Caenorhabditis elegans: one gene and its partners. The protein of the gene in region 1 purifies or fractionates together with the protein of each later gene. This does not show direct contact. Each region holds a gene or a part of one and is shown on either strand. Other genes may lie near its edges. The genes, in order: vig-1, cey-1, nhr-37 and ZC196.2.

Region 1 (7,921 bases):
ACTAAATTTTAGTTTAAAAAAAACTGGTAATTTTCGATATTTTCCAAAAAAAAAAACCCAAAAAATCCGCAAAAAATCGCAAAATTCCACATTTATCAAATTTTCAGCATGGACGACACTCACAGCACGGCGAGCAGCTCAAAATCCGACGATAAAATGCTCAATGGCTCGGCGCCGGCTCACTCACTGTTGGATGCTCCAATTGATGAAAAACCGAAGAATCTTCCCGTTGTCGACGACGAGGGATATATTGTTCGAACGACGACAACTTCTGAAAATAATGCCGACTCATCAAATCCAACAGCATGGTCCAGTTGTTCTAGTGATGAGGAGGAGGACGAGGATGAGCTTCAAAAGTCGAGAATACGGAAAATGACGATTTCCGATCGACCTGTACATATTAATGCGTCGGTTGATGAATTGAGAGATGCTATTGGAAGTATTACGTTGACGAGGAGTACCACTTTTGAAAGGGTTCGTTTTTAAGGGGAAAAAATCAATTAAAAAACGAAGAAATTGGTCTGCTAGACTACAAACTACACAACTGGATGAGTCTGCGAGACTAGTATAAACTAGAAAAAAATTAGAGAAACCAACAAAAAAATTACAGTCGGAAATGGACAATTATGTACTATTAAAGTTGGGTCTGCTAAATCTAGTTTTGTAGTTTGTAGTCTAGCAGACCATATTTCTTCAAACCCACTTGGGTCTGCTAAATCGAAAATTGTAGTTTGTAGCCTAGCAGACCCAAAATTTTCAATTTTCGCAAATTGGAAACTTGATGAGTTTTTCATTTTTTCAGTGTGGAAATGAATATTTTTCGAATAGAAATTTTAAAAATTCAAGTGTTTTGCGATTTTTAAGTGGAAAATTTTGCAATTTTTGTGTTTTAAGACAAAAGTGCGTATTTTCATATAAAATTCTGAAAAAATCAGAACTTTCGGCGGAAAATTGATCCAATTTTGAAATTTTTGAGTGAATTAGCATTGTATTCCAAAAAAAAAAAACTAATAAAAAATAAAAATTTTAAGCTGACAACAAACAGTTTTTAATATTGGTCTGCTAAATCGAAAATTTTAGTTTGTAGTCTAGCAGACCCAAACTTTTGTGTTTTTAGATTAAAAAACACAGTTTCAAAGAAAAAATGCCTGTTTTTACCAAGTTTCTTGGCTTTTCAGCTCAAATTTCCCGGTTTTAAATGCGAATTTCATAGATTTCTCAACAAAAAAATTCAAAATTCCATTAAAAATGGCTGAAACCTCAAAATTTTGACAATTTGTAGGGTCTGCTAAATCGAAAATTGTAGTTTGTAGCCTAGCAGACCCAAATTATTGTGTTTTTGGAGTAAAAAAGCACGTTTTTACTAATTTTCTTGAAATTTTCAGCTCAAATTTCCGGTTTTTGAACCTATTTTTGTAGTTTGTAGTTGAAATCTTTCAGGATCCCTGGACGATTGGCGGAACAAAAGCTCCACTGATGTTCTCTCAGTCGATGAATGTCTCTTCCCTTCGGCAACCTCTACGCTCACATCACACTGCTGACGGACGGTTTAGGACTAATTTTAGTGGTAATTTAATATTCTTTCTTCGATATTTTAAACTTTTCTAGTAGAATTTCCTAAATTTGAAAAGAAATCCTAATTCCAGAATCCGAGGATCCTCCTGCCTTCTCCGTTTCCATGGGTCATAACCAGGCGATGGCGGCCGGAATCGCACGAGCTCGGCCCCGAAGCAACACTCCCACCACGAGCCAAATGATGAGCCGGAAGGACTCGGCGAGCAGCTTTATGGATCCGTGGAGTAGTACTTTCAATTTGGCGCCCAGTGAATCGAATCATTCCCTTGGAGAATCCACGTTTAATTTGTCACAGTCTACCGGGAATTTATTGCAGGTAAGGCTTCAGGCTTCAGGCTTAAGATTCAGGGTTCAAGAAACTCGAAAATGTTGATTTTTTTTTCAAATTTCAGGCCACAATATCCGAACAGCGAATTCCGCTAGCCATGGCCATCAACGAGCACGTGCATGTTTGGTTCAAAAAAGGAGCCGAAGAGTTCATTCAGCGCACTTTCGGCACCGTAATGATATCATTTCCAACGTCATCAATAACTCTTCTCACGTCCATCCAACACGAAATTGAGCCACTAGCATTCCGGCTCTCAAATGCTAAATTCATTAAATCAGTGCTCCCCAACAAGCAACTTATCGATGAGAATGTGAGCAAAAAGGACGACGAGATGTGCATTTTCTACTTTAACAAGACCCATCTTGCCACGTGGCTTCAAGCACAGAAGCTCGCGAAGCCGGATGCGGCATTTGTGAACGCGGAGGTCGCGCGGTTCGAAATGGAGCCGACGGCACCGTGTAATATGGTTCCGCCGCTATTCCTGACGTCGTACTGGAAATTCGAACCTGGACACACTGGTTCGTCGAGAAATCTTCTGTGTTTTTGAGAAAATTTGAATTTTTAATATTAATTGCGAAAAATTGATGGGTCTGCTAATTAAGAGTTTGTAGTTTGTAGTCTAGCAGACCAAAATTTCCTAAAAAGCGCAGTAATTGATTGGTCTGCTAAATAAGACTTTGTAGTTTGTAGTCTAGCAGACCAAAATTTATTAAAAACTGCAGAAAATTGATGGGTCTGCTAATTAAGAGTTTGTAGTTTGTAGTCTAGCAGACCAAAATTTATTAAAAACTGCAGAAAATTGATAGGTCTGCTAAATTTGATTTTGTAGTTTGTAGTGTAGCAGACCAAAATTTATTAAAAACTGCAGAAAATTGATGGGTCTGCTAATTAAGAGTTTGTAGTTTGTAGTCTAGCAGACCAAAATTTATTAAAAACTGCAGAAAATTGATAGGTCTGCTAAATTTGATTTTGTAGTTTGTAGTGTAGCAGACCCAAATTTTTTATTGAAATTGGCAAAATTGCTGAGTCTGCTAAATAAAATTGAGTTTTTTGTAGTACTTTTTAAATGCAAACGCCAAAAATAAAGCCTAATAATAAAAATCCGCATTTCTTTTCAGATCTCCGTGTCGACTATCGCCTCAACTCAGAATCTTCCATCTCGGCGCCACTTCTCAACGTGAATTTCAGCACAAATTTGACGGGAAGCGTGGATTCTGTGATGTGTGAGCCAGAAGCCAAATGGGTGGCTGGAAATCCGTCACTCGGCTGGAATTTGCTGGAAATTTCAAGAAATGGAGATGTGCACGGATCGCTGAAAGCAAGGATATTTATGAAGAATTCTGGGGTCGGGCTTTTTAATTGCTTTAAAATAAAAAATATATAATTTTCCAGGACGAAGTAAGCTTGGAAATGCTCGATCGGAAGCCGGCGCAGGTCTTCGTGCAATTTCAGGTACTAAAAACTGAAATTTAAGCTCTTAATTTATCTTTTTCAGTGCCTGGAAGCCAATCTATCTGGAGTGGACATTTCCCTAGTGCAATCGGATATTTATCACCTGTCTATGATTCGTAAAAAGGTGCTCGCTGGTAAATATTTTTGTGATCCCGAGCTGCGGAAATAGAGAAGATGAAGAGCTTTTTAATTTGATTTTTGTTTTAATTTTTCTGTGTAAATATAGCATAATTCTCGCGAAATCTGTGATTTTAACAAACTTTCAACTTCTAGTTTTCCAATTTTTCACCACCAAACGAGTTTTTCCACTATTATTCGTTATCCCCCGCTGTAATAAATACTTTTTCCCGGCATTTTTACTTTTTTTACACACATTTTGGGCTGGAAATGTCATAAATTTCTTTTCAAATACTTTAAGACAACAAAAACAATTGGAAAACAAGTTTTCCCCCAACCAAAAATTGATTGAAAATGGCCGAGGACTAGTTTTCGATTTCAAACTGCCGCCCATTTCGGCGGTCGCATTTGGCTGCGTAGCGGCTCGCAAACGCCAGTTTACACTATTGTGATACGCAGCCAAACCTTCACCTGTCCGATTTGAACAGTTTTTCCGATTTTTTTTGACCGTTTTCGCCGGTTTTTTGTAATTTTTTGGGTTGCTAGCAGTAAATCACCGATTTTTGATCAAAATTGCACTGAAAAATGTTTATTTTATTCCGAAATAGTGGATTTTGAGCAATTGTTGATTTTCTGACTTTTGATTCGATTTCTTTCTGGAACATTCAAAAATTCCCTTAAGAAAATGCAATTTGCTTTTTTTATTTTTTGATTTTAGTTGTGAAAAGTGCTTAACTGATTTAAAATATCGCAACGGTGTCTGGCTAATTATACTCTTTTCTTAAATATCGATTTTTGTTTGAAAATTTGAAATCTAAACTAACGTTCTTGCAGGTATCCCCATATTATGGGTTATTGATTAACTTGGCATTGAAATTATTGAATTGAACAGAAGCTTCCTGCACTTGGAATCTTATCTTCATCGAATCAACACAAACAGCAAAAATGAGCACTGAATACGGTTGCCAGGTCACCAACAAGTTCGGTCTTCCATCCGACGACGACGATGGTGAGTGGTTGATGATGATGATCGCCGGATGATTATCTTATCTTCCCGATGGGATATTGCGCAATATTCATATGCGATATACTCCGCCCAGAAGACATTATAAAAAATCGATAATTTGCAGAGTATGACGACCCAAGAGAGCTCATCCAAAAGGTGTCTCAAATCGCCGCCAAGAAGAAGGAGGAAAAGTCTGTGAAGCCCGCCCAGCCGGTCAAGCCAGCCGCTGCTCCAGTTGGTAAGAATTGGCATTCCTATTCTTAAATTAATTAAACATTATTTCAGCCGCCACCAAAACCGACGGTGCTGCTGGACGTGGACGCGGAGGACGTGGTCGCGGACGCGGGGGAGCCGGCCGTCCACGTGACGGAGAACGTGTCTCCAACGAGAACGGTGATCGTCCACAAGGCGAGAACCGTCGTGGAGGACCCCGCAGAGGCGGTGAGCGCGGTGCTGCTCGTCCAGCTGGGTAAGAAACGCTTAAATTTTTAATTTTTTTTTTCATTTTACTGAACTTTGTATTTTAGACGTGGAGGCCGCGGAGGATTCACTCGCGAGAACAGAGAAGGAGAGGAGCCAAAGCAAGAGGTCTCTTTCGAAGACGGACAAGATACCCGTGCCCCAAGACGTCGTGGAGGATTCACCCTTGGAGGTGGACCATCTGGCGGACGTGGAGGAGGCCGTGGTGGACGTGGGCGTCAATTCGATCGTCAATCCGGATCCGACCGTACCGGAGTTCGCTCATTCGACAAGAAGGACGGACACGGAAAGGGCAACTGGGGAGACCAGAAGGACGAGTTGGCTGGAGAAACCGAGAACATTGCTCCAGAGGGCGCTGAGAGCACCGAGCCAGAGGTTCCACGTGAGAAGACCGCTGAGGAGCTCGCCTACGAGGCTGAGTTGGCTGTTCTTGCCAAGCAAAAGACTCTTAAGGAGTTCAAGGCTGCGGCTAAGGTGAGTCGTATAAAATATTAGTTTTGGAATTTATTTTTTTTTTTGTTTCAGGCTGACGCTCCAAAGTTCAACACCAGAAAGGCCGGAGAGGGAGCCGCCGATACTTTTGGCAAGCTCGTTCCAATCAAGAAGGAGGTCATCCCAGATCGTGAGGAAGACGAGGTCGTCGTAATCCACAAGGCTCCAAGAAAGCAAGTGCTCGACATTTCGATCACTTTCCGCAACGATCGTCCAGAACGCGAGCGCAACGACCGTTCTGAGAGGCCGCAACGTGGAGGACCAAGAGGAGGTGGACGCGGTGGAGGCCGTGGAGGACAACGTCAAGGAGGTCATGGAGGACGCAACAACACTCCATTCAACGCTTCTGACGATGCTTTCCCAGCTCTCGGTGCCAAGTAATTCCCCCCCCCCCACTCAACGACCTTCAGCCAACCAACCAATTCGCCCGCCCTCATTCAAATGCTCTGTTCTTCTCTCCATCTTGTTTTCTTCAAAATTCTCCTCTTTTCAATATCTTTGCCTGTGCCCATCTACCCCACAAATTGTTCGTTTCCAAAATGCCTGTTTCTTATTTTTCTTTTTTTTCTAGTTCCCCCATTTAGCTTGTTGTTGTTATCACCTGCCTTATCGATCTCTCTTCTGATGAGTTGCCCTCGATTTGGTTTGCTTGTTATCTCCCGTTTTTTCTTTAATTTTTAAGCCCTTTGAATCCCTTGATCTTCCACATACACCCACCAAGACGACCTCTTCTTTACCAAATATTTGACACAACAAAAGGTCTCAATTGTGTCAAGGATCAACGAACTAGTACTAGGAAACTCAATTTGTGCCCCTTCCAACCACCACCCCATTGCGCCCAGGTTTCGTTTTAATTGGAGTTTGTTGTTAACAAGATTTGATAAAGCATCATTTTTGTGTTAAACACCCCAATCATTCTATATCACACACACACACAAACACCCATTTTTCTTCTTTTTGCCTCCACACACCCCCCCCCCCCCCCCCCACCCAACTGTATCCGTATTTTGTAATAAAACGGTCTAAACCAACCACAGGGGCGTGGCCTGACACATGCCATTTCTAGGCCGCGAGCCGAGTGCTCTGATTCTCTGCCGCCTCTTTTAGAGAGCCGCGACGTCTTCTTCAGCGGGAGAGAGGGAGCACCCCCCCCCCTCCCCATTGCTCGGCAAAAACTTTTGCTCTCCTTTCACTTCTTATTGATTTCCCTTCTGTTAGCCGCCTAAATTAGAATTTTTAATTCTTCAGATTCTCAATAGAGCGAGCTTGCGTTCGAAATAATTTAATTTTTAATTAAATCTTCCTGCGACTCTTCTCTCTTTGGAAATTGCTATTTCGCAAGTTTAGTAACGATTTTATGACAGCAGCGGCGTCCGAATTTGAAATTGAATTAGGTCCCCTGAGAAGCTTTTTAGACTATAAACTACAATTCTGAAATGGCAGACCAATGAGAATTTGGTCTGCTAGACTACAAACTAGAGTCTGTGTTTAGCAGACCCATGAGCTTTTGAAGAGTTTTGGTCTGCTAGGCTACAAACTACAAGTCGTATTTAGCAGACCCAAATTATTAGAGTTTCGTATGGGTCTGCTGGACTACAAACTACAATTATTTAACAGACCAATCTTAAATTAAAAATTGACTGAATTTAGGGATTTTTTTTTCAGTTTTTAGCTCTCAAGACACTGTTTACAGCAGAAGAGAAGTACAATTCATTTTATTTTTAAAAAAAATGCTCAAAAATGGTTTTTCCCTTAAATTGGTCTGCTAGACTACAAACTACACAAAAGAATTAGACCCAAGCTGACGTGAGTTTTGGCCGATTTTTGAAAGTTTTATCATGTTTTGAATGAATTGTGCTGCTGTGTAACAGATAATTTTTCAAATATTCAGTTTTTGTCAACATTTTGCGAAAATTAGAGCTTCGAAATGGGCCCCCCAAATTGGTCTGCTAGACTACAAACTACATTTTGTATTTAGCAGACCAAAATCTTGAAGACCCCGCGAAAAGTTGTATTTTTTCTCCAATTTCCCCTTCCTTTTCCTAATTGAATTCCGTGCAATTCAGTGCCCCCCACCCGAAGCTTCTTCTCTTGTCTGACCTAATTTGATCTACCGGGATATCGGAGTGTCGTAGTGCTGCCACGTCATTTTTTTCTGTGTCTCCTTAAATACATACTAATTTTCAATTCTAGAGAATAGGAAATTTATGTAGACTATTAATATTAATGTTTAAATAAATTTATGAGGAGGGTTTTGTGTTTTGGGTCTGCTAGGCTACAAACTACGAAAATTTGTTTAGCAGACCCATTTTTTTTCGATTTTTCGATTTTTTTTTTACTTAAAACTACACTTTGTCTCGTTTTTTAGCGATAATTAAAAAGTTCTGACTCAATTTTCAAATTTCCGGGGTACTGTAGCGCCACAAGTACGCAAACACCGAGCATCTTACGACAAAATGCACAGAAACTTA
Region 2 (7,374 bases), 9.7 Mb from region 1:
GTTTTTTGTTTCCCATTCCCTCTATCCTACTACAAAAGTTTTTTGTTTTTCTTAAATCATCATTTTATTAAGATGAAAAATCGCCAATTGTTTTTTTATTCTTAAGATGAGAACACGAAATCCTTCTCCTTCTCTACTAGTTATTCACACTTTAGAATTGAATACTCCACACACTTATTCTCTATTAGTGTTTGCATATCCTTCCATCCTAACAGCTATTCAACTGTTTCTTTCCGCTCCTTCTAGGCTTCTGATGACGTGGCAGCAGCAGAAGCATAGACCGGAAGCAGATGACGTTGAAATTCGGACACTTCGTGTCGTGACTCTCATCTCTGTCGGGATTACTGTAGCTGCGATATTACTTGGATTATTTGGCAGTGTTATTTTATTTGCGAAGACTTTGACGTTTCAGGTTTCAATAAAAAAACATAATTTCAGCTAGCTTGAAGTCTATTGCAGAACGAACTAGAATATGAGCTACGATATTGTGTGTCTAGATCTCACGATTTATGGGACATTCTGTCTCAGGTTAGTTTTGTGGAAAGAAGCCATTAAATGGGCGGAGTCTATTTTAGCTTTTTATTTATTTTTTAGAATATTTTTCGGAAATCGAAAAGTACTCGAAATATATTAACATACAGGCTCTGCCCATTTCTTGGCTGTTTTACATTTTCACAACAATTTATCCAATTTTTGCTGAGTTTCAATTTTTTTTAAAATTTCCTTTCATGTTTGCTGTAGTGTAAGCACAAACTTGCCTTATTCCTACCTTCAAGGCGACCTATGACTGCCTTGCGCCTACACAATAAGCACCGTAGGTAGGCGATAGGAAGGCATGAGTGAGGTACTAACGACGCCTCGAGCAGAGGAATGTTCGAAAAAGTGTCTAGAAAATGTAAATATACATTTGTCAGAAATAAATCAAGTTTTTTTTTCGAAAATCAGAAAATATTTTTTAAAAACCATTTTTCACAATTTTCGTGATAGCTTTCTACTACATATTTTCTATTTTCTGAAATTATTTGTATCGTGATTCCGTAAAATTTTGACATGCCAGTTTAAAGGTGCATGCGTAAATTCCGGCTGGGTCTCGCCACGATCTCAGCCACAGTGTCTCAGCTACAGGTGGCAAATTCTACAGATTTTATAATTTGATCTAACTTTACGGTTCCTTTTCCAGCTCGAAACGTCAAAAGGAGTTGCAATTTCCCAACGTCGAAAACGCCAATTCTTCATGAATTACTGTAACGATGTGACAAATTGTGGTGGACCATCGGATTGTGGTCAGGAGACTGGGTGTGCTATACATCCAGTGCATTCATGTGGTGGAGGTGGAGGATGCTCCCAGCCAGTTGTAGTTCAGCAGCCAGTGATTCAACAACCCATTGTTCACAGCCCACAGCAGGTGGGTAGTTCCTGCCTGACCTGAGTTTTTTCATATTTAGTTTCAGCAATTCTGTATTTTCGGTCCACCTGGGCCTCCTGGAATTCCGGGCCTTGATGGAAATGACGGGGACGATGGATCCGAAGGTTATCCTGGTGTTCCTGGAGCTAATGTTCCAGATACCGTACTTCCAGAAATTGATGATTTCTGCTTTGATTGCCCACCAGCGAGAAGTGGGCCGCCAGGGCCTCCAGGACCAAAAGTAGGCCTATTTGTTAAAACTTTTCAATCAGTCAGTCTTTACTTACAGGGCCCCCGCGGTACTCCAGGTCCAACTGGCCCAAAAAACTTCTATATTACATCAGGCCCACCAGGCCCCCCAGGTCCTCCAGGCCCACCCGGTAATCCGGGAGGCATTGGTCCTCGCGGCCCACCAGGTGATCCAGGCATAATGACTCAAGACTCAAGAGGTGTCGAAGGACCAAGTGGACCATCTGGACCACCTGGACCAATGGGGTTTCCTGGACCGAAAGGAATCGATGGATTTTCACAAGTGGGCTCAATGGGTCCACCTGGAAATCGAGGAGCTCCTGGTCGTGTTGGCTTGAATGGCCCGAGAGGCCCACCAGGAGATATTGGGCCTCCTGGGTCTGCTGGAGGATGTTCGGCTTGTCCCATTCCACGTGTCAGCCCTGGTTACTGATCAATTGGCCTCAATCTTTGATATTTCCCATGTAATTAACTAAATAAATGGTTGGGATAAATGGTTATCAACAAAAAACGCACAATGACGTAATCAAAAAGGCAAGGCCGAGATTGTCGAAGATTAGATTTTATCTGAAACTGCATTGAATCACCCAGTATAACCAATGATGCAATTTTGACACTAGCATAATTTTTGTTTTTAAAAATATTTTATCCCTGCTCCTAGGGTTCCTTTGATGAAATTGCCAACTTGATTGCGCAAAATTTCAAAATGAAATTTTTTTTAGATATCAATTTTGATTTAAACATTTAAATTCCGTTCAGTTCCCGGCAAACGCCCACTTTTTCTGTGCCTGAAAATTTGATGCCTACCGTAATCATCTTAAAGGCGCATACCTATCAAGCGATGGGTATCGAAACGATTAGCAAAATTTGATTTTTCTAATATTTTTTTTTCGAACTCAAACTTCTTTTTCTTCATTTTCGCCTTTTTTTAAAACGTTTTTCGAGTTTTTTTCTGCAAAATTATAAAATTAAATAATTTTTTAGTGTATTTTCATCAATTTTCTCCTCTTCCGCGGTGTCTTCCCGCTCAAAAACCATTTCGAACAAGGTTTCCGACTGGGTGGTCTACTTTTGTTTGTTTCCCATCAATAAATCCACGGGAATTCACCTATTTTGTCTCCCGCCGATCTAATTGTCGTCCTCCAAACAAAAAAGCGAAGAAAAAATGTTTTCTTCGCTCGCATTTCTTAATCCCCTTCTGCGTATAGTTTCTAATTTGTTTCCGCATTCTAGCTCTTTATTTCAACGTTTTCAGAGATTCTTCAGATAAATTATGCATTATTTAGTTTTGTGCAGCACATTTAAGCCGAGAGAGAAAAAGAGCAAGCACTCTATCGATCCGCCAGCAGCAGTGCGTGAGTGCGTGTGCGTGTGTGTGTGTGGGGGTATGTGAGTGTGCGAGAGAACCCTTTGCGCTCTTCTTCTTCTTCTTCTTCTCTTCGTGTGTATGAGGCCAACAACACAAGCCCCGGGCCGACCGAAACTAGAGAGATCGGAGACCGAGAATGTGCAAGGAACGGCGAAATAGCACCAGCAGGGGAAGGGCGGACGGGTCGAGCAGTGGTGGCCTCCCAGTCGAAACTACGCATACAACACGTACCCCTCGGTGTTCATTTACTCTCTCTCTCTCTTCGCTTTCGATTGTATTTGAACCATTCGAATCGGCCGTGTTGTGACAGTGCTCCGGCTCATCATCAATTCGCTTATCAAATGTTTATTGTTTGCTCGTTCACTATCTCTTTGTTTCTTCATCTCTTTCTCTCTCGACCATCTCATTATTATTCTGCGTTGCCTACCTTCCTCCAGTTTTGTTCAATATTACAGTGCTATTCGTTTCACCAACTACTAGTATTTTACCATCTCACTTTGCTCGAAAAATACGCAAACCCCCCACCCAAAAACATTCAAGCTAACACAGGGCAAACAACGGCGTTGTTGGTATGCTGCTGCAGAATGTTGCAAGGTCAAAAGGCATTGTAGCACGGAATCGGGTCAAAAATTTTCTTGTTTCGTTTCGCCGCCTTCTCCTCCTCCCAACAACCACCTGAACATTCCTAAATTCGCAATTTTCGGTCTTCGAGAAAACAATCGTTGTTTATTGGGGAGTGTTTCGGAGAAGAAGTTTCTAGGTTTAGATTCTCCCAAAAATTTGCTTTTCTGGTCTTTCAGAAATTAGAATATGGATGTAGATTTACATATACCTTCATTAAAATTCGCATATCTATGAAAACGGGTTTCCACGACAAACTGAGTCAAATATTCAGGATTGCTCTTTTTTATTAGAGAAAAATATTTAATTTTTCAAAAGATACCCTCGCAAGTCAGAAATTTTTATCTTAAATAGTAATTTGATTAAATCCCCTATTTTGAGTCTTAATAGTTCGAAAATCATGTGTCTCTGCCTCTAGAGTTCTCTAAAGTCACGCGAAGTTCTTCGAACCAAAAAAGGATTGAAACCTCATGTTCTTTTTCTTCTTCCTCCTCTTTCTCTCTTCTAACCGCGCACACCTCTTTCATTTATCGATTATTCTGTTTTTGTTCTCTATTTTGTCAGCTGCGAGGCTCGGGGCTCAGTGAAGAGAGCTGCTCCGGCGTGTACTTCTTCATCAACCAATAACTTTTCTGTTACACTGACCGCTGCTCATCCGTCTCCCGCACCTCTCAACATCTCTCTCGTATCTAACAATCGTTTAATGTTGGTGTCCGCATCGAAAGGTCAGCTTACACACTCGCACTCATTCGCCCCCACTACTTTTTCTCTTATTACTCTTGTTATTAGGATGAGAATGAGGAGAATAATTTGATGTTGAAGGCAAAAGCTACCGCATACGTAAAAACTGTCAATTTCAGTGTTAAGTTTTAAAATGAAAAATTTGCATTAAATATGCAGAAAAATGCTTTTTCGATCTGAAAATAATATTTATTACTTGAAAATTTCGAGAAAAAACTACAAGTAATATATGAAAGTCACTTCTAATGGCAAATTTTTCAGGTTGAACAAACGTTTTCCTACATTTCTAAACTAATTCCTGATTTAAAAATTAAATTATCACATTAAAAATAACATTTTTGTGAAAATATTGAAACAAGAAAGACTGACGAAGCTCTTAATAATTTTTGAAGGTATAATTTTGATAGAAAGTATGAAAACGAAAAATTAAATAATTATTTAAAACTTTCCACCCCCGTTTTATGATTTCTCGACCAAAAATGTCCCTGTGCTACACCGGATAAAACGTATAATTTTTGTTTTTTTTTCCGCTATTCCCTATGATTATCAATTTCTTTTCTTTTTTCTTCCAATTTGAGCTTCTTGACCCCACACAAATTTCAACTCTTCATAATTTTCATATTTTTTCAGCGAGGGTTTCAATCGTTGTGTCGCGCCACACGAAGTAACAGCCGGTAAGACCAGAGGAAGAACAGAAGCGCGCGGAACAATGGCCGAGAAAAACGTAAGTGTGTGTCTCTATGATCTTTGATCCGACGAGGCTACTTTTCCTGCGAAAGGAGAGCACGCGGAATGGAGGGTCATCGGTCAACGCGACCACCACCACCACCCAAAATACAAATAAAATATTTGAGACAATTTTCGGAAAACAACACTTTCATTATTGCGGTCAGCTGACGTTTTTTGAAGTGGCAATGTTCCTTGAGATTTGAAAATAACGAGACAAGAAAAATGAGCTCTAAAATTCGTTTCTTTCCGAGATCCTAATAAATCCAGAGCAATTGAGCTCTAAATATGAAATTTGAAAATTTCTAAATTTAAAGCAAATCTTGCAATTTTAATTAATTTCTTAATTATCGTTTTATTTCAGGACGTGGCAGAGCAACCAGCTGACAAGCCAGTGAAGGCTACAAAAGTGAAGGGAACAGTGAAATGGTTCAACGTTAAGAACGGATACGGATTCATCAACCGCACTGACACCAACGAAGACATCTTCGTCCATCAGACCGCCATCATCAACAACAACCCGAACAAGTACTTGAGAAGTCTTGGAGACAATGAAGAGGTCATGTTCGACATTGTCGAAGGATCCAAGGGTCTCGAAGCGGCCAGCGTAACAGGACCAGATGGAGGACCAGTTCAAGGATCCAAGTATGCTGCCGATCGTGATGCTGAAAATGCAGCACGTGGACGTGGTGGACGCGGACGTGGACGACGTGGAGGACGTGGTGGAATCCGACACGACTCTGGATCAAGAGACGCCGAGGAAGGTGGTGCTCCACGTGGAGGTGGTCGTGGTGGAAGCCGTCGTGGTGGCGGTGGACGTGGTGGTGGCCGTACCAACAGTGGTGGAGAGGAGACTGCTCGTGACACAGATGTAGGTTTTTTTGTTTTGTGGGTTTTAAAACTAGTATTTTTAGATCCAATTTTTTTTCATTCTAAAATTCTCAAAACTCTAAATTGATCGAAATTTAACATCCATATTTTAGGGCGGTGAACGCGGAGGACGTGGTGGTGGCCGTCGTGGAGGCCGTGGACGCGGTGGACGCGGTCGCGGAGGCCGTGGAGGACAAGGCGGACAGAGCGAGGCCTAAGTAATTTTCCAGTAACCAGTAACACTCGTAGTAATTAAGAGAGCAACTAGGTTTTTATTTCAACCCCCAACTCCCCCAATTCATCTCGCCACACACACACCCACAACTTTGAACTTTCGCTATATTACATTTTCCCTTATTCTTTCTTCTTTCTTTTGTTTTCCTAACTCGTGAATTATTATTGCAGTACAGTTACTTTAAGCTCCCCCTCTAAAACACGTCACAACCTGAATCATTCTCGTAATTAAACCATTCTCCTCCCAACAAAAAAATATATAATTCTACCTGTTTCGCTTTCGGATTTCCAAAACTTTTCTTGTAACACCATCAACACCGAAAATCTCTGTAATTCAACAAGCAAGCACCCACACACACACACCAGACCAACTGATGACTTCCCATCTTGTTTTTTTGTGTTGCTCTGTCTTTCTGAGAGTATATTGCTAACAGAAAAACGAGAAAGCATAATATATCTGTACCCTTTCCCCCTTTTTTGAGAGAATCTTTAATGTTCAAGTACCTCTTCGCCCTTCATCTTGAAATAGTTGATATACATACATTAAATTTATTTTCCAAAAACGATTTCTATTATTGCTCTTGCTCTGCATTTTGAATTGACTCAAACAAAAAAAAAGCAAAAAAAAATTAACTAAACAAATAAATTAAGTATTATTTAGACGAGTCACTTGAATCCCTTCAGCTTCACATCAAACTCTTTGCGGATGGAATCTGGAAGCTTCGAGTAGATTTCTTCGATCTTCTTGAGCTTCTCCTTCTCCGGTTGAGAAGGATCATGCATTATTCGGACGACTCGTTGGAACTCTTCCACCGCTTCTTTGCTCATTTGGCTCACGGCACGATCCACGTTGCGACGCTTATCCTCGAGGTCTTTATCAATGACGTCACGTCGGTAGTTGGTGTACATGGACTGGAATATACGTAGCTACAGTACTCCAATTTTGGAAACCAATTAAAAAAAACTAACCTGTCTTTCGTCGGACATTGTCTTCATGAACTCTTCGATTTTTTTATTCTTCTCGGCACCGCTCCACGTTGGATGCTGTACAATTTCGTAGAACTGCAAAAAAAATTTTAAAAATAGAAATTTGTTTTTTTCCAAAAAGCTTGGCAACGCGTCAAAAATAAGAGGAACTGACTTTGTCCTGATCGCCGAC
Region 3 (8,301 bases), on another chromosome or scaffold:
AATTTTTAAATTTATGAAATTTTGCCAAAACATAAACTGCCATTTAAGTCATTTTCTGAATACAAACCCGAAATTTGAGGTTCAAAAATAGAACAATGTGTAACCAAACTCTTAAGCCTGCTTTTAATTATGCAGAACTTATCGACTTAGTTATTTTGGTGTAACTTTTGGCAATCGGCAATTTTGGAAATCGCCGCTTGTTTAGTTTTCCGTTACGTCTACTTGTGAATAGGCACAAAACTGACCTAGTTTGTCTCGGAAGCAGACAACATTTATCTGCATGAGAGAACTAGTGCAATCGTATAAAAAGTTTTCAAAAAAATTCGTATAGAAAATTAAGAGAAGCTTGGTTCAGATACATATTCTGCAAGTTTCAAACCTACTTACGATAAAAAATTTTCAAGCTTCTGTTACAACTTCTTCTTTATACATTTCTGCTGCAAACCTTTAATTCCTAAAATCTGACACAAATCCGACAAGTGCCCTCAAAATTCCATTCAAGTACTGGGGACGTAAGATATCAATCGTTGATCGTTAAGCGCAATAAAATCACATAAGACGATCGAGTCTAGTTTGAACGAAATTATTTTCATTTTCGTTAATTAGCAACGTACCGTAGTTCAAGCCAATCAGCTAAGTGGTAGCTTAATTGAAGACCGCCTTTCAAAGAATGTAAGGAATGGTTTATATAACAGTTGCAAAAACATTTTCTTTCGGCTTCATAAAAAATCAATGTATTATTGAAATAATTGGTGGAGTCAAAACAGATTAAAAATGTGACACACTGTTGTAGTTAGTAGTTTCATCTATAGGTTTTATTTCCGAAAAAAACACTATTATACACCAAGAAGTATATTTTTCATTGTTGATAATTTTCATCAAACATAATGGAGATATATATCAAACCGGAAAGTTGAAAGTAAAACTCTAAACATGCTACTAGAATGGAATAATGTTTATGGGCATCAAAAGTTAGAGTGAACTTGAGAATTTTATTTGTGAGTGATGTTAGGGTGATTTGGTTGGCCTGTTAGCCAAATTGCAGGAAACATAAGGCACAAACGCAGTGAGTAATCTACCGTAAATTAGACAACATCTATTTGGGTTGCAGCAGAGATTTTGAGGCTATGCAAGAAAGGATGCTTGGGAATTATTGGAGTTGAATCTTGTAAAAATACTATTTCCACGTTTAGTAATGCATCTTATTGCTCAACCCTGACAATCTTTTGTTTTGCAAAATGATTTGCCACTGACAAAACATGTATGATTTTTCTTCAAAAGTTTTGTAGTTAATTAAATTTAAATATGGTAAAGTGGATGGGGTGCAAGAATATAATGGAATCGTCAAAACCGTGAAATTAAATTGCAATATATTGAAGTAATGGAAATAGAGCAAAGGTTCAGTATCATTCAGTATCATTTGTACATGCCATATGTTCCCTATTATACTTGCACATCCTTGCTGCACTTTGGCAGTTAATATCTTGGTTTCGTTTGCTTTTGTCAGAAAACTGTAAACTGACAAAATACGTGCTAAATAATCTTCTGTATTTCACTAACAGTATATTTGTGATTAATTTTAGTACAACCGAGATATGAGCCGTCAAAGTAAAGCAATTGGGGTACAAATCCAGTAGGGAAAATATGGTAGACTTGTTAACTTGAAATTAGTCTTCAGTTTATGTACTATAGGACTAAACTTATTTGTATTTATTTTTTTTTAACTTGAGGGAATAGTTTTCCTTGACATGCATACTTAATAAAGCGGTGAATTGAATTTATATGAATAACATTGTTGTACTAGTTGTTACTTTGATGCTACTTTTGCAAATTGACAAAATATCATGATATCTCGGAAAATATGCGAACTACATATTTGGCAAATTTATTACTCATCGGGTAAGAAAATCGGAGAAAACATATCTGATGTCTATCAACTGATCTAAATGAATAGAAAAATGATTGTTCCCAATTGAATCAGTCTAGATCAGGAACTTTTGAAACATATATACAGTTATATGCCCTAAAAATGAACAACTTTCCCCGTCAACAGACACAATATTTTTCTCTTTTTCTGGTCTCCATGTCCTATTTCATGAGTCAAGTGTTGTAGAGGGCGACGATAAGACATCGGGCCCAAACGCATTAACGAATCATCTTGCGGGTCGGGAGGCGGGATCTGTCAAAAGTTTGCAGCGTTTGGCAAAGGTTCGAGGCTGGCAATGAAGATGCAAGGATGGTGGACGGCTACCTGCAGATGACAGTCTATCGGAGACGCAGACTAATCAGATGACATTAGTCTTTTGAAAGTTTTGCGGAAGTCCAATTCGGCGAACACAGGTCGCGTGTGAATCGATGCTCGTAGACCGAGTAGCAATTGACAGCTAGAGATTGACAATTTATGAAGAGACGCAGACAGATGTGAACATAGAAACGACAAAAGACATACATGTTTCGAATTAGATGGACAAGATCGGTTGCCTCTATATAAAGTAGCTCAACGTATTTTATCCAAAATTCTAAATCGGTCACTATCAATCTAGCAATTCTAAAATGTTTTTGTTTCTGATTTTCCGCAATTCCATCGAAGTTACAATTTTGACTTAAAATTTTCTATCACAAATCATGTACCAATGTGTGCACTTTTAAAAAAATTGTACAATGTATGTAGCAGTAATCAGAAGGGGATTGTTTTCCTATAAAATTCAAGAAAACCCAAAATTCTCACATTCCGAAAATCTTTTTTTTCTGACTTTTTTCCTTTTTGGTTCATCGAACATAAAAACATTTTGAAACAAATTTTTGAGGTGGTCTTTTCAAGTGGAAAGTAAATTCAAAATCTTTTATCATCAGATCGAATATGAAATTTCTGAGTTTTCTATTTTAAGAACTTTCAGTATCTATAGTATCCCTAGGCACATTTTTAAAACGTTTCATACAACTCCAGCTAAAGTTTTCTGAAAATACGGTTAGCCAAATTCACCACTTCATCCTGATAATTGTCATTATGCTTTTCCTTCCACTACAACTAGACTATCTCTTTTCGGAAGGGGGTGAGATTTTAATTGTTTGTCTGAGATTCCTACGTCTTCGACCAGCGTAACGATCAGAGAACATGCCGACATGACGTCTTCCCCCAGCCGAAAATGTCTCTCTTCTGATCTTGCCTTACATGTGAAGAAAAGTACCAAAAAATTGCTGTGATAACTTTGTGATTTGAGGCTGGGTTTTCAGTCTCAAAATTTGACATGTAGGTACGTTCATTTTTCCTTCAAGTTTCCCTCTTTTTTTTTCTCAAATATAAACCCTTTTCGGTGGTCACTTGATCTTTTCCTCTCCTCTCTACGTTTTTCATTTCTCTAATAACATATCTGGTAGAGATCTCTTAGAATGACAACACCCAATTTGCATATTACAAAATGATGATCACACTTTTTTTCCTTCTCAGAATCTAAAAATGGTACCTGACAAGTCATGCTTGGTTTGCAAAAAAGCTTCAAATGGAATGCATTTCGGTGCACTCACCTGCCGAGCGTGCGCCGCATTCTTTCGAAGGGCTACTGTACTGAAATTACAGTATAAATGTAAGCAGGGGAATTCAAAATGCAATATTGATGGTCGTGGAAGGTGAGTTACTATAGTCTTCAAAATCAGAAAATTCACGTTTTGTTTATAGATATGTCTGCCGGCAGTGTCGTCTGACAAAGTGCAAAGCAATCGGGATGAATGAAGAGAGTATGTTTTTTTTTCCAAAAAAATAAAAACTTGCAAGATTTTCAAGTGCATATCGTGCACATCAAAAAATTTTACATCAAAAGTTTTTGTGAAAAATTGTTGCGAAAATTGGTTTGACAAATTTTCAAAAACTTCATGTGAATAGGTTTTGTGGAATACGCAGAAAAATAATTTTTTCTGAAAAATAAAAAATCCTAACAAAATTTCTAGATCATCTCTATGTTTGATTTTTACTCTTTAGGCTTAGAAAGGATTTTTTCCGAAGTCCGAAAATTACAAAAATATTCCAAAGGTTTTTTTTATAGCTTAAATAATTTCAAAATGAGGGCATTAAATACAAAAGTGCCCTATTTCCTTTTTTTACATAATGTTGAATTTTGAAAATTGCTAAAAATCACCACTCATTTTTGCTAGTGGTGAAATAACTAAATCCTTTCCAAAACACAAATAAAATTTCAATTACTGTCAAAAATTTTGCTGCCATTCTTTTGGAATTTAACCAAAAGCGTTTTTTTCTGCAAATTTTACAGAGTCCAATTATTTTTCTCTTCTTTTTTTCTCTTCTTTTTCTAGTAAAATATACTCATTTTTCAGAAGTTCAATTGGACTATGACCCAACGTACTCGTTTCGCGGTTTGATGGAGGATAGTGGAAGTGTGAGTTTTGTTTTTTAAATTAAAAACAATTATTTTATTTACTACATTTCAGGACGAATTCTCTACGCCAAATGGAAGCCCAGCTCAATCTGATTACAGCCCGACCAACTTGAGCCGGAAGAACTCGGTGGAGTCACCTGGAATTGATCCGAACTTTTTGTTCACCTTCTCGCCAAAAACACCGGATAAGCCGAACATGGTTATCAGTTTTAATGACTTGGTGAAGAAAATTGAAACGTCATTTTCGGTAAGTTGAAGCGAAAAACATTGAAAGTGAAAATTTTGTTATTTTATGTTCAGCATAAAACAAAAGGCGACGATTGTGAACTGACTACTTTGACGTCTGCATTGAAAAAGTTTAGGAAAAATCAAAAAGCTCAAAGTCAAATCTCTTTTCTTGACAAAGTCGAGCTGAAATCTGCTATTGATTGGCTCAATGATCGAATCTATATGTACTCTTGTTGGTTTTCCTCTTCAAAATCTTTAATGTCTCTACCCATGGATCAAAAAATGCAGCTCTTCCGATCTTCTTGGAATGTCGTTAGAACATTTGAGCGCCTAGAAATGTCTGTCAAGATTTTTGAAGAAGGAGTCATTCGAGGAGGAGTGAGAATAGTTTTTAATTATTTTTAAAAATATCAACTGTTTTTCAGTATATACTTATCAATGATGATCTCGCAATGAAATTGGAATCAACTCATATTGACTTTGCCTCGATAACTGATCTCACGAATCAATATTTCAACAAGTGAGTTTTCTGTTTCAAAAACTTTGAAATGCCCACAATTCGCTGATTGAAATTTGTCAATGTTCTGAAAAGCCTACTCAAAGTTGCGTTGGTTTTAGGATCACATTTTGATACAGCATTTTCTTTACTATAAAATTAATTGAAATACTGAAAATTCAACAAAACAATTTTTGCCGCTATGTCGAGAAAGATATAATGATGAAAAATCTTTGAACATTTTTATATTTGTATTTTTGTAATTTTCAGACTATTCGAACCCTTCCTACACCGTTACATAGATGAAGTTGCAAGGCCACTTCTTGATCTCAAGCCAACTACGGAAGAAGTCGTTTTTTGTATGGTTCACCTTATTGGACTTGAAGGTAAAAAAAAAAAACATCAATCAAATTTTTATTAACTTTAATTTTAGAAGGTGATCTTTCTCATGAAACACGAGAAGCTTGCGAACAAATGCGAGCAGAAATTGCTGACCAAATGCACGTTTATTATACAAATCGGACGGATATCAAAATGTATTCTCATCGGCTTCTGATTCTTATGAAACTGGTCAAATCCATGAAGGTTTGCCAAATTTTTTTTTAAGTTTTCTGATTTTCCCCCTATTTTTAGAGAATCTCTCGTGAGAAATCAAAGATCAAGGAGCTCTTCTGGCTTTTTGACATCTTTCATGCCGAAATCTCGGAGCCGTATTTTTTCGAGATGTTTTAGAAAATGATGGGAACCCAAATCAAGAAAATGCTCACACAACCAGTCATGATAATTTCATAATTCATTTTTACGTACGAGTTTTACAATACGAGTTGTTTCTTTTTGAAAATCAAACAAGTTCACATAAAATATTTTTTGATAATATCGTTGACAAGCACACTTCTTGGAATTTGCAAGTGATCTCCATCCACGTCCATAAAATGGATTCGTCCACTCTCATGAAGCTTCTTCAATCCAATACGATCCTCTTTGTACAGGTCGGTTTCGTTCATTGGGAGAATTGTGTCAATATCACCGTCTTTGTAGAACCCGAACCACTGGAATAAATTATTGAGACTTTATAAAATATTTCAGCGTGAGAACCGTGACAGGTGGTACAAAATGTCTGTTGCCTGTGTGGCTCTTTGTACCCATTAGAATGAGAATACTCGGGAAAACTCCGGCCTGCATTAACAAGCTTTTGGCGACCCTCGCCTATAGGCGACTATAGTCTACTTTCGGAAACTGCAAAACAAAAAAAACCACTCACAGATGAATCCTTTGGTACAACCATATGATCTTGATTGAATTTCACCAGAACCAGGTTTTTGAGACTCAATAAGTTGCGTTTGTAAGTCGGGTTGTTATTCTGAAACAAAAATACTTTTTTTTTCAATTATTTTAATGATTACGATTTTCTAACGATTTTGAAATTCAAATGTCAACCGGCAGGAATAATTTTTAGAAAAGAAAATAAAGCACCACCGTTCATTAAACTAATCCCGGCGCATCTTTTTACAGAAAAAGTTATAATTTTCAATCACCAAAAACAGTTTTTTCAAAACAAAAAAGGACCAAAATGTACAGAAATTATTAATTAATACTTCAAAAAAATGTTTTAAAAATCCTTACGTTTTCGTTATTGATATCAGCCAAGAAAATAGAACGTTTTTTATACTCTTCGACTTGATTTGGGTCGTGCCAGTACTGGGCTTGAACAACTCTAGAAAACTGTTAAAAATAATGAAATGAAAGACAAAAAATACTCGTACCGTTTTTGTACAAATGGAAGATAAGCTCCCAAGTCAATGAGACGTCTCACGCCATTGCACATAATATTGTCACCAATGCAGTACGGGGCTCCAAAAACTCCTTGATGTTGACCACCGACTGACACCAAATTCTTCATTGGTGGATTTGGGCATCTTTGGGCAACCGCTCTCCTGAAAAATTGCCGTTCTACAAAATTTTTTAAAATTTAAATTCAATAAACGCGATTTACAAAAACTGTGCTCCTTGTGAGAATCCGATCGCATTATATCCATTCTTTAGTTCAGGATCGTTCTTAATTTTGATACATGCCATATAGACAAGTTCATTGGTATTTGCATAAAATCCATGCTCAATGTCTTTTGTAATACTAGATCCCAATTGAAGACTGTGAACGTAAACTCCAGGAATTTGCTCCTCGAATAGTTTTTTCACAGATCCCATAGACAACGGATTGCAACAACAGTCACCTAAAAATCATAATGTTCGCACTTTTTCAGTAATTAAGTTACAACTAACCCATTCCATGCCACATGACCACTGGAACCTGCTTTGTAGCATTCCGGAATTCTGCTGTAGTTATGGCCAGTAGGCAAAGTAGAAGGGGAAAATATCTCATTCTTCAAGAAAACGAAGAAATGATTAGAGTGGGGTCAAATGAGAATGGACAAAGAGGTCGGCTGTTTGGCTCAACAACTGATAAGATAAGATTAATTGGCTCATTCGGGTTTATTGATTGATCATGCTAGAAGGCAAAACAATTGATAGAGTTTTTCGATTGAATTAATAATGAAGTTTGAAATCCTGAAAATAAAACCAGAATACATGACAATTTTTAGCTTTATAATTTGCTTGGCTGGCTTGAATCGAATAATTGATTGAGTTTTGAATAACCTCGCAAAGAGTTACTAGGCCGTTGTCTATGATTTCAAATCATAACAATGATCCAAATAAACATACGCAGGCAATTCAACAAGTAAATTGGATGTTCAACGAAAACTACGACCCCAAAAGCCTTTTTCATGTTCTAACTTCAGTCTGTAATTTTCTGTTTTAGATCTGTACCCACATGGCTCTACTGAATGTCGTCGATTCTGTTGGATAAAAAGAAACATTTTGAACTAAAAAGTGTATGATGAACCATTCTCGAGCCACACCAATTAATCTATTTGACAACTTACACTTTATTTCGGGCTGGAAAACATATTTTTAACTTTTAAATAATAATTTGTTAACACCCGAATTGATTTGGTCGAGATCATTGAATACATTTTTGCTAATTTCACATGGAAAGATTGTTGGATAAACTGCGACGAGAACCTGGCATGACGCATTTTTAATCGACCGTTAGCCATATGCGCACTGTGAGTTGTGCACATTATCCCTCACGGTCCCATGGCCCCATCTACAATTTCGTCTACAATG
Region 4 (8,429 bases), on another chromosome or scaffold:
TGATTTTCCTGATCTGAAAAATTACTAAAATTGTAGTATTATGTTTTCACAAACGTACTGAACAAAATTTTTCATAAGTTGCATCATTTCTTGCATTTTATTGTCCATATTTTGTTTTAACTCGCTCATTGAAGATATCATTTCTATTTCGAAATTATTCATTTCTGATTTATTTACCTTATTTTTTTCCTAAAAACAAATTGATTAAACGTAGTGTATGTTTTTTAATCTCCTTACCATTTCTTGTGATATATTCATTTTCATTGCATCAATCGAAATCGTAAGATTTTCAATAATTTCATCTATTTTTTCAGTGTCATTTGAATTCCATTTCTCGTTTACTTTTTCAATGGGTTCATTAACAGTTTTTGGCTCATTATTTCCTTCTTCTTCGTGTTTTTCTTGATGTGATAATACATCATTACAGATTTCGTGATGTGAATTTGAAGTATTCCTTGGCAAGATTCTCTTCTTTTCGGTATCAGGATAACTATCTGATCGTAATGTATTTTGAGAGCTCTTCTTAGGATCCAATACAATATTTTCATGAGTCGCTTGAGCAGTTTCCAATTTAGTTGAATTGCAGGTCACTCGGGGTACACTGCTTTTGGCTGATCCAAATTCTGTCTTTTCAGTAGACGTAACGTTCGCAGAAGGAATGGAAGTTTTTAGATAATCTTTTTGTGATGAGGTCGCTGAATTTGTTGCAGATGGAGTGTTTCCGTTTTTAATTCGATCCGGGGTTCTGAATGAGTAGATATCCGTTATCTGTCTCCAAAGTAAATTAGAATTACCGTAATTGAGGAGAGTCGATGTTTGCTAATTCACTTTGATGCTTTATGACTCTTATGGGTGGGCGTTTTTTAAAAATAGGACCATTATTTCTTGTTTGACTTATCGGCTAGAATAAAATAGAACTTCAGTGTTTTTCTGATTCCTCTCAATCTCCCACAAGTCAACATTTTACTGCAAAATTTTCACACTGAATTACAAAACAATGAACGTTGATAAATCTGTTCTTTTTATGGGATCTCACTACAAACCTCCCATTTTACAAATAAACTATGAACTAACCGAATTCATGTGCTTTTGCTTATACTCTTCTTTTGAAACTATGAATATCCCTGTCTTTCAACTGTAAAGTGACACATTAATGATATATTTTATTTTTGAAAACTCACATTCGCCAACACTTTTCCGTTGTTAGAAACAATTTGAACATCCACTCTTCCTTGTTGTCTTGCTTTTTTTATTATCAAATCAGCAACATCTCGGTATTTGAAATAAAAAACATCCCAGTTCTGAAGCATAATCTTGTTATCTAACTTAAGAAATCAATATAGACTAACTTTTGAATCAATTGCATGTCTCAAATCGTTTAGAAAAGAAACAATAGTCTTCTCATTTTCAATCCCGGCATCATGTTTAGAGAAAAGTTGTTGACCACTGATAGTGAGTGTAGGAAGTAATTGAAAAATTTCTTGAAATTCGTACAATAGTGTTTACAGGCAGTGCTCTTTAACTGAAATATAGATTAGCCATTTATGTATTTACTTACTGCTGGAAAATAAACATATTTCAGTTGATCACCAAGTTCTATTATAGAAGCGTCATATTTTGTTAGAAATTCATCAAAGTAGCCCTGAAATTATTAGATACTTAGAATATGAAACAATATATTGAAAACTTACAGTTTCAGTGCATTCATTAAAACAAGAAATCATTTCTGCATCAAAACAAAAATATTGGACCATTTTTCTGGAATACTTTTTGTTTTGCAGTGAAACTAATGAAGTTAGTGACTGAAGAGAGATAGAGAACAGTGAAATGTATTGCTACGTCTAAATTGTGTTTTCGATAAGAGTTTGTGTACATGAAATAGGTATGAGAAAGAATTTATTGAAAATGTGAGAAATACCGAAAGAAAAATCAATCATCTCACACTTTCATTAAATTTGGGAGGGGTTTATGTCTTATGTCTAAACTATGAATAATGAAAGTTTATCTTCTATCTGCAACAAATATTCACTGGAAAACAAACAAAACGGTAGAACTATCATATGTACAATACCAAAAATCAGAATCTACAGTTAAATACAATCAAATTAACAGGTGTGTTCTATTTATAAGTCCTCGTAAAGTCCCGCGAAAATCTTACCACATTGTCCAACATTTATGCGGTTGTCATCTACACCTGATATGAGAAAATGTAAAAGGCAATTGTTTAAATTGTTATAATCTTCCAAAAAGTTCTAAATTTTATTAAAATTTGTAAATAAAAAAAACAGTAATTTCTTATCAATTCGCCCAGAAGATTCTTTCCGTTATGCCAAGTTGTTCCTCCATAGTTCTCAATTCGTCTGATTCTCTCTGTAATAATGCATGTTTTTGGTGGTCTGGCCCTTGAATAATTTTAAAGTTTCTATTCGAATACAAAATTGAAAATTGATTTTTTTTCAATAAAAAACCTTAAAATTTTAAATTCGGTAAAAAAACTTGGGCGTTCAAAGTTAAAAACAAACCACGCAACAACTTTACTTTTCTTTCAAATGAAAATTAAATTCATACTTGAAGCTCCTCTCTTCTTTTCCTCAACTCATTCATTTTCTCTTCTGCTATTTTGTTCTGCCCATCTAGCACTTTTTCGAAATCTTGTCGCATTTGTTCCAATTCCTTTTTTGCGACTATTGAAAAATTATCGTCCAATTCAAAAACGCGTCTAGAGTTCCCAGGACTATTTGACAAACTTATTGTTTCCATAAATTGTGTTAATCTTGATATCCTTTTTTCGAACTTTTCCTCCAGTCTCATTTCCATTTCTTTCAATTTTAATTCAAAACTGTCTTCTAATTGGGACTTGATCTCATGAATTTTATCCACAAATTTTATCTGCAAAAAAAATTATAAAAAGAACTTTTAAAAATAATATATTTTTTAATTTTAACCTCAACTTCCAATTGATTTTTTTTTTGAAACTCGTCTTTTTTATCACAGGTGGTTCCAGTTTGATCAGCTTGTTGATTTTCGCCTAAAGGCACTTCAACCAGTTGTTTAGTATACTAAAACTATGATTGTTATTTTTAGGTAACAAATTAACACAACCTTTAAGCTCTTTGAATTTTCATTATTTTCTTGTAATTGTTTGGCTGTTGAATGATGTGAACTTTTGCCATCATCAGAAACATTTTGAATAGGAGATGATTGTCTCGAAGATTCTCTAAAAAAAATTATTGTTGAAGTAGATCTCTCTTAAGATATTTCAATTAAGAAAAACGAAAACTCACGATGCAATTTGATCATTTCTAAAATCTGGGCTGCTTCCAGTCCCAAGAATAATAGGTGACTTATGGACAAGTATTTTCTCATTAGGGATGCTGCTCCAGAAACTTTTCAAATCATCAATATCTTCAGATTCAAATTCACATGATTCTATTTTGAGCTTGTATGATTTTGCGTTCAGGCTAACTTTGTCGCTCGATCGAAACTTGACAGATAATTGCCTCGCTTCTCCAGGTTTCAGCAAATCTGAAGCAGTAGATTCAAATTGTATTTATTAGGGTGAGCAATAAGTTTTTTCGTATTTTCTCAGTTTTCATCCTTTCTGAAATATTTTGTATGTGGTACATAGTATTCTGTTAGTAGTGCAAAATATATTGAAACCATATATTTCCGCCCACTTCCAAACTGATTCATCCTCAAAACTTCGCTCGAAAAAAATATCCAATTTTTTCGATTTTTTCGGATTCTTTGGGAAATCCAAATTTTACTAAATTTCCTTCGTTCAAAAATATTACAAAAAATACATTTTGATTTTGAGAGGGTATAAAACCGACATCGTAAAAGATATAAATACGGATAAAACGACAATCTTGTTCTTCAGATTAATAGCAACATTTCTGCAGTTGAACACTTTTTGATATCTAAAACCAGTAAAAAGTGACAGGCTATTGAGTCAGAGGCACTCATTTTCGCTGAATCTGCCACATTCTTACATTTGCCTCCGTAGATTTGTTAAATCTTAATTTATCAGAAAGTGTTCAACTGCAATGTTGTTTATTACATATTTGTGCACAACTTTTCAGTTGATCAGTTTTTGATAACAATGTTATCCAGGAAGTTACAAGCGTTGGAACAAAAAACACCAAAGATTGAGAAAATTTCTCTAAATTTGAATCAAAAAAATTCGAGAAAAAAAAATTTTAAGATAACTTTGCGAATTGCACGTATTGCAAAAATCAAGTTAAGACAAAAACAAAAAACACATTATTACATGTTGTGATTTCATATTCAACAAGTTTGGTCGTTTTTGTGAAAAATGTTTTTGATAAATTCAGATTTAACAAAACTACGTAGGCAAACGTAAGAATGTGGCAGATTCAGCGAAAATGAGTGCCTCTGACTAAATAGCCTGTCACTTTTTACTGGTTTTAGATATCAAAAAGTGTTCAACTGCAGAAATGTTGCTATTAATCTGAAGAACAACATTGCAGTTTCATCCGTACTTATATTTTTTTACGATGTCGGTTTTATACCCTCTCAAAATCAAAATGTATTTTTTTTGCTGTAATTTTTTGTAATATTTTTTATATTTTTGAACAAAAAGGGAAAAAGGTATCTAATACTGCTCAGTTCTGAATTTAATTAATATTATGTATACAACTAATGGTCTAATACCTCACGGAGTACTGACATTTGGATTTCCCAAAGAATCCGAAAAAATCGAAAAAATTGGATATTTTTTTCGAGCGAAGTTTTGAGGATGAATCAGTTTGGAAGTGGGCGGAAATATATGGTATCAATATATTTCGCACTACTAACAGAATACTATGTACCACATACAAAATATTTGAGAAAGGATGAAAACTGAGAAAATACGAAAAAACTTATTGCTCACCCTAATACATAAGTAATTTTTTGAGAAAAGTTTTCTAATAAATGTGACTTACCAGGATTTGGTCGACTGACATACATATTTGGTACACTCGTTTTCACTTTGAAACATACTGGTTTCTCAGATATATTTTTCAGAGTAACATAGGCAGTATCAGTCAGATTTGTTGATTTATTGAACACAAAATTGTCGCAGGGAGTCACTTCAAGAAGAATTGTTTTACCACACATTCCTGAACACATTCAAAATTAGCGAAGAAACGTTCAAAGAGCAAAGAAACTTTCAAGAAAATGAGAGAAACGTTTTTCGAAAGAACAAACGCTACGAATTGCTATGACTAAAACGCGAGAGAGATGCTGATAAGATTGTTTACAAATTAATGTTGATCACACAACTAAACAAATCTTTTTTATTTTGAGAACACAATATTTTTGTCTTCAAAACATAAAATCATGCTCACAAGTATAATTATGGAGTCTTCCACTTCTGAGTGTTTTTTTTTCAATAAAAACTCACTCAAAAACTCATAAAGATTATAACATCATTTTCAGCATCTTAAAAACGTTTTTTTTAGTAATTATTATAACCCCAAACATTCATTTACAATTACTTACAATAGCTAAAAGATAGCTAAGATTTGTGTACATATTTCAACATCTTACAAAAATTCATTCCAAATAAATTGCAAAAAAAGTTCCACAGTTAGAAGAAAACAAATCATGATAAAACATATTCGAAACTTGAGAGATTATAAAAACCACGATTTCACTTTTTAAATGTTTTATTCTCTACGACGTCTCAATGTGAGTTCAACTCTGTTTTCTACCTTCTGCAAAACTGATTAGGTTGAACATTAGACTCTTCCCTAATTTTGTCAAAACTAACCAGCGATAGGTTGATAGGATAGATAGGGTTGTTGAAAGAGACGAAGTAGATTTACGAAACACTGTTTTGAACACGGAAAATGAAAGCAGATCTCCGATGTTTGATGAACACAGAGACGGTGTGTAGAAAACTGCCTTGAAAATATCATACTTTTTGGATGTTTTCAATTTTCCTCCAAAGGCAAGAAACTTGTTTAAATTTCTCTAAGTTTCTATAATTTATTTGTGATTCTGAAGGCATCGAAGTATGTCGATTAAAAGAAATCAATTTTTCATTCAGTGAATATAATTTGTAAATACATATGTATGTATGAAGTGAATATAAATATAAATTATCTATATCACTTAACAAATAACACATTTACTTTCAGAAGTACAAACTTCTTCTGCTTGAACATTGTCTTGTTCGTGGATCACGACGTAACTCTTGAGGTGTATCTTCGGGAATTCTAACTGCTCATAGTTGGAAACGACGGCTTTTTTGCAAATTTTTCGTAGTGATGTTGTTGTCGGAATGTCACTGAGCTTTATCATAAAAAACAACTTTTCGAGTTGTTTATACCATTCGTGGGACGGGGCGTTCACATCAAGAATATTCAGAATCGATGATAAAACAAGTGCAAAATCAATTATACTTTTCTGAAAATTGGATTTTCATTGGAAAGATAATACACACGAGAGTACCTGTAGAACTTTGATGAATAATGCATCTGTAGCTATGTCATGTTGTTCACCGAGTTGGATAAACAGAAACTCAAGAGTATCAAATAGGCTTAATACACATTCTGAAAGAATTGATATTTCTTCATATGCATCTTGAAGTGATTCCGACGGTAAGCGTTTAAAATATTTCCATTCACGCGCCTAAATGTTTAAAAAAATTATGTTTAAACACTAGCAAATGCAAATTACCACATTCTGAAAATCTCGAAAATATTCTAGGAATCTCTTGATCGGTTGCTTATAGCAATTTTGAATCCAATCAGCAACTTTTTCTTCCTTTTCCTCAAATCTTTGTTTTAATCTGATACATTCAAATAGTGCAATAAAACGATTTTTCATTTGACTTTGAATTTGTTCTAATTCAGCCTCGAACTCTTTCTATAAAAATACAACATTGCTAGAAATTTTAAATTATTCCAATCATTACTTTTTTCAATTCTCTTTTCTTTTTCATCTCTTCCAATTCTTTGGAATTAATTGCCTCTTGTTGTTCCAACTTCCTTTCAAAATTTTGATCATCTATATATGAATCTATTTCGTCCTGGCATGTGGATTCAAACTCACGGTTTTCTGGTTTTTCAGACTGAAATATGAATCCTAAAATTACAACTACTATTCTAATGATTCTACTACAACTACTATTCTAATGATTTTTTTGTAATCTGCAGAAAAAAAAAACAAAGTATGAAATACTCACAATATTTCCCAGTTTATAATAAGTGTACCTACGAAAATCTCTGTCTTTGAACTGAAAGTGTAGATGGTTAATTCGATCTTTAATTCCAAACTTACACTTTCACATGAATTATTACCAATCTGAATAGAAATATCAACGGTTCCTTGTTTTCTGGATAGTTCAATGATTGTATCAACCGCACTTCGGTACTTGAAATAAAAATCAGTCCAATTCTGAAATGAAACCGATCTTCAAAAAGGATTCAGTTAAAAACTCACAGAGCTGAAAATCGCATATTTTAAATCTTCTAAAACTTCTGGAACATATTTTTCAAGTGATGAGGTGTCGATCATTTCAAATTCTGAACTCTCAGGGTTCCAACTAGACAAATAATCAAATAATGGTATAAAATTTTTGCAGAGCGATATCTCCAGAGTTCCCTGAAACTTACTCAATAGCGAAATGTATAATTAATAGAACTCACTTTATCAAATGATGTTTTTTCAAGATAAGTGTTTAGTGACATAAGAAAATCAAGATTTTCTTTGTAAAACTTCTTGTAGTTACCCTGTGATTTTTTTAAAATTAATCGCTAGTGAAAATTAATGAAGAATTACCTCGCCATCGCATTTATTGAAGTTTTCAATCATTTCCACATTTATTTTAACGGCGGGTACAGATTTTTTAAAAAATGTAAAAAATGAGGACATTTTCTGGAATATGAAAAGAAATAATATTCAAAATTGCTGATATTTCACGACTGTAAAGTGAACGTGATATTTATTGTAAAAAAATTACAGTGAGCAATAAACAATAAGGAATTAAACTATAGTATCTTTTTCATGATGAAATACCGATAGTCAGGAGGAAGCTGAACTCTTATTTGTGAAAAAGATTTTGAAGAGAACGAAATATAAAATAGAAATGAAATTTATAGAAAACATTACTCGAAAAGTAAAGAAGACATTATCAAGTCTTAATTATAATTAATTTAATTTAATTTAATTTAATTTAATTTATTTACGCTCGCGAGGAGACGTGGAAAAAGTTGAAGGAAAAAGAAAAATGTACACATACAATATATCATAAATACAATACACTGAATAAGAGGGATAAAAACAAAAAGAATAAATAGGAACGAAAGTTTGTTAACAGGACAGTTAGGTCAGGCGGGAGGAAATAATGTTATGTGGGTAGTTCATGTTGCAATCATCAGTTGTCAGACATCTCGTTATTCAAGATCTGATATATGTTT

Evidence for each region.
Region 2: the proteins of vig-1 (region 1) and cey-1 fractionate together in Caenorhabditis elegans (co-fractionation; one large-scale study listed by BioGRID). This does not show direct contact.
Region 3: the proteins of vig-1 (region 1) and nhr-37 fractionate together in Caenorhabditis elegans (co-fractionation; one large-scale study listed by BioGRID). This does not show direct contact.
Region 4: the proteins of vig-1 (region 1) and ZC196.2 fractionate together in Caenorhabditis elegans (co-fractionation; one large-scale study listed by BioGRID). This does not show direct contact.

Annotation. Positions count from the first base shown.
Region 1 is NC_003280.10:1,316,731-1,324,651, forward strand, and holds vig-1 (Hyaluronan/mRNA-binding protein domain-containing protein), read left to right. Parts: upstream 1-4,306; 5' UTR 4,307-4,417; coding exon 4,418-4,481; intron 4,482-4,602; coding exon 4,603-4,716; intron 4,717-4,763; coding exon 4,764-4,947; intron 4,948-5,005; coding exon 5,006-5,432; intron 5,433-5,483; coding exon 5,484-5,831; 3' UTR 5,832-6,343; downstream 6,344-7,921. Other genes in the region: fcho-1 (FCH domain only protein 2), read left to right, coding at 108-474, 1,441-1,567, 1,647-1,891, 1,968-2,421, 3,022-3,248, 3,296-3,355, 3,399-3,524.
Region 2 is NC_003280.10:11,038,848-11,046,221, reverse strand, and holds cey-1 (CSD domain-containing protein), read left to right. Parts: upstream 1-5,015; 5' UTR 5,016-5,094; coding exon 5,095-5,109; intron 5,110-5,475; coding exon 5,476-5,982; intron 5,983-6,094; coding exon 6,095-6,199; 3' UTR 6,200-6,874; downstream 6,875-7,374. Other genes in the region: col-83 (Nematode cuticle collagen N-terminal domain-containing protein), read left to right, coding at 254-412, 460-528, 1,181-1,405, 1,452-1,646, 1,695-2,087; srlf-15 (SXP/RAL-2 family protein Ani s 5-like cation-binding domain-containing protein), read right to left, coding at 6,882-7,127, 7,185-7,277, 7,357-7,374.
Region 3 is NC_003283.11:6,618,811-6,627,111, forward strand, and holds nhr-37 (Nuclear Hormone Receptor family), read left to right. Parts: upstream 1-3,383; 5' UTR 3,384-3,457; coding exon 3,458-3,627; intron 3,628-3,676; coding exon 3,677-3,735; intron 3,736-4,329; coding exon 4,330-4,391; intron 4,392-4,443; coding exon 4,444-4,638; exon of another isoform or gene 4,639-4,645; intron 4,646-4,691; coding exon 4,692-4,997; intron 4,998-5,044; coding exon 5,045-5,139; intron 5,140-5,385; coding exon 5,386-5,501; intron 5,502-5,548; coding exon 5,549-5,700; intron 5,701-5,748; coding exon 5,749-5,847; 3' UTR 5,848-5,966; downstream 5,967-8,301. Other genes in the region: ppt-1 (Palmitoyl-protein thioesterase 1), read right to left, coding at 5,967-6,164, 6,377-6,475, 6,739-6,829, 6,879-7,049, 7,109-7,346, 7,396-7,495.
Region 4 is NC_003283.11:8,736,129-8,744,557, reverse strand, and holds ZC196.2 (Major sperm protein), read right to left. Parts: upstream 5,123-8,429; 5' UTR 5,122-5,122; coding exon 4,947-5,121; intron 3,526-4,946; coding exon 3,285-3,525; intron 3,218-3,284; coding exon 3,103-3,217; intron 3,060-3,102; coding exon 2,946-3,059; intron 2,890-2,945; coding exon 2,569-2,889; intron 2,371-2,568; coding exon 2,299-2,370; 3' UTR 2,247-2,298; downstream 1-2,246. Other genes in the region: ZC196.3 (DUF713 domain-containing protein), read right to left, coding at 6,121-6,414, 6,460-6,639, 6,688-6,876, 6,926-7,081, 7,196-7,246, 7,291-7,407, 7,453-7,614, 7,659-7,742 and 1 more.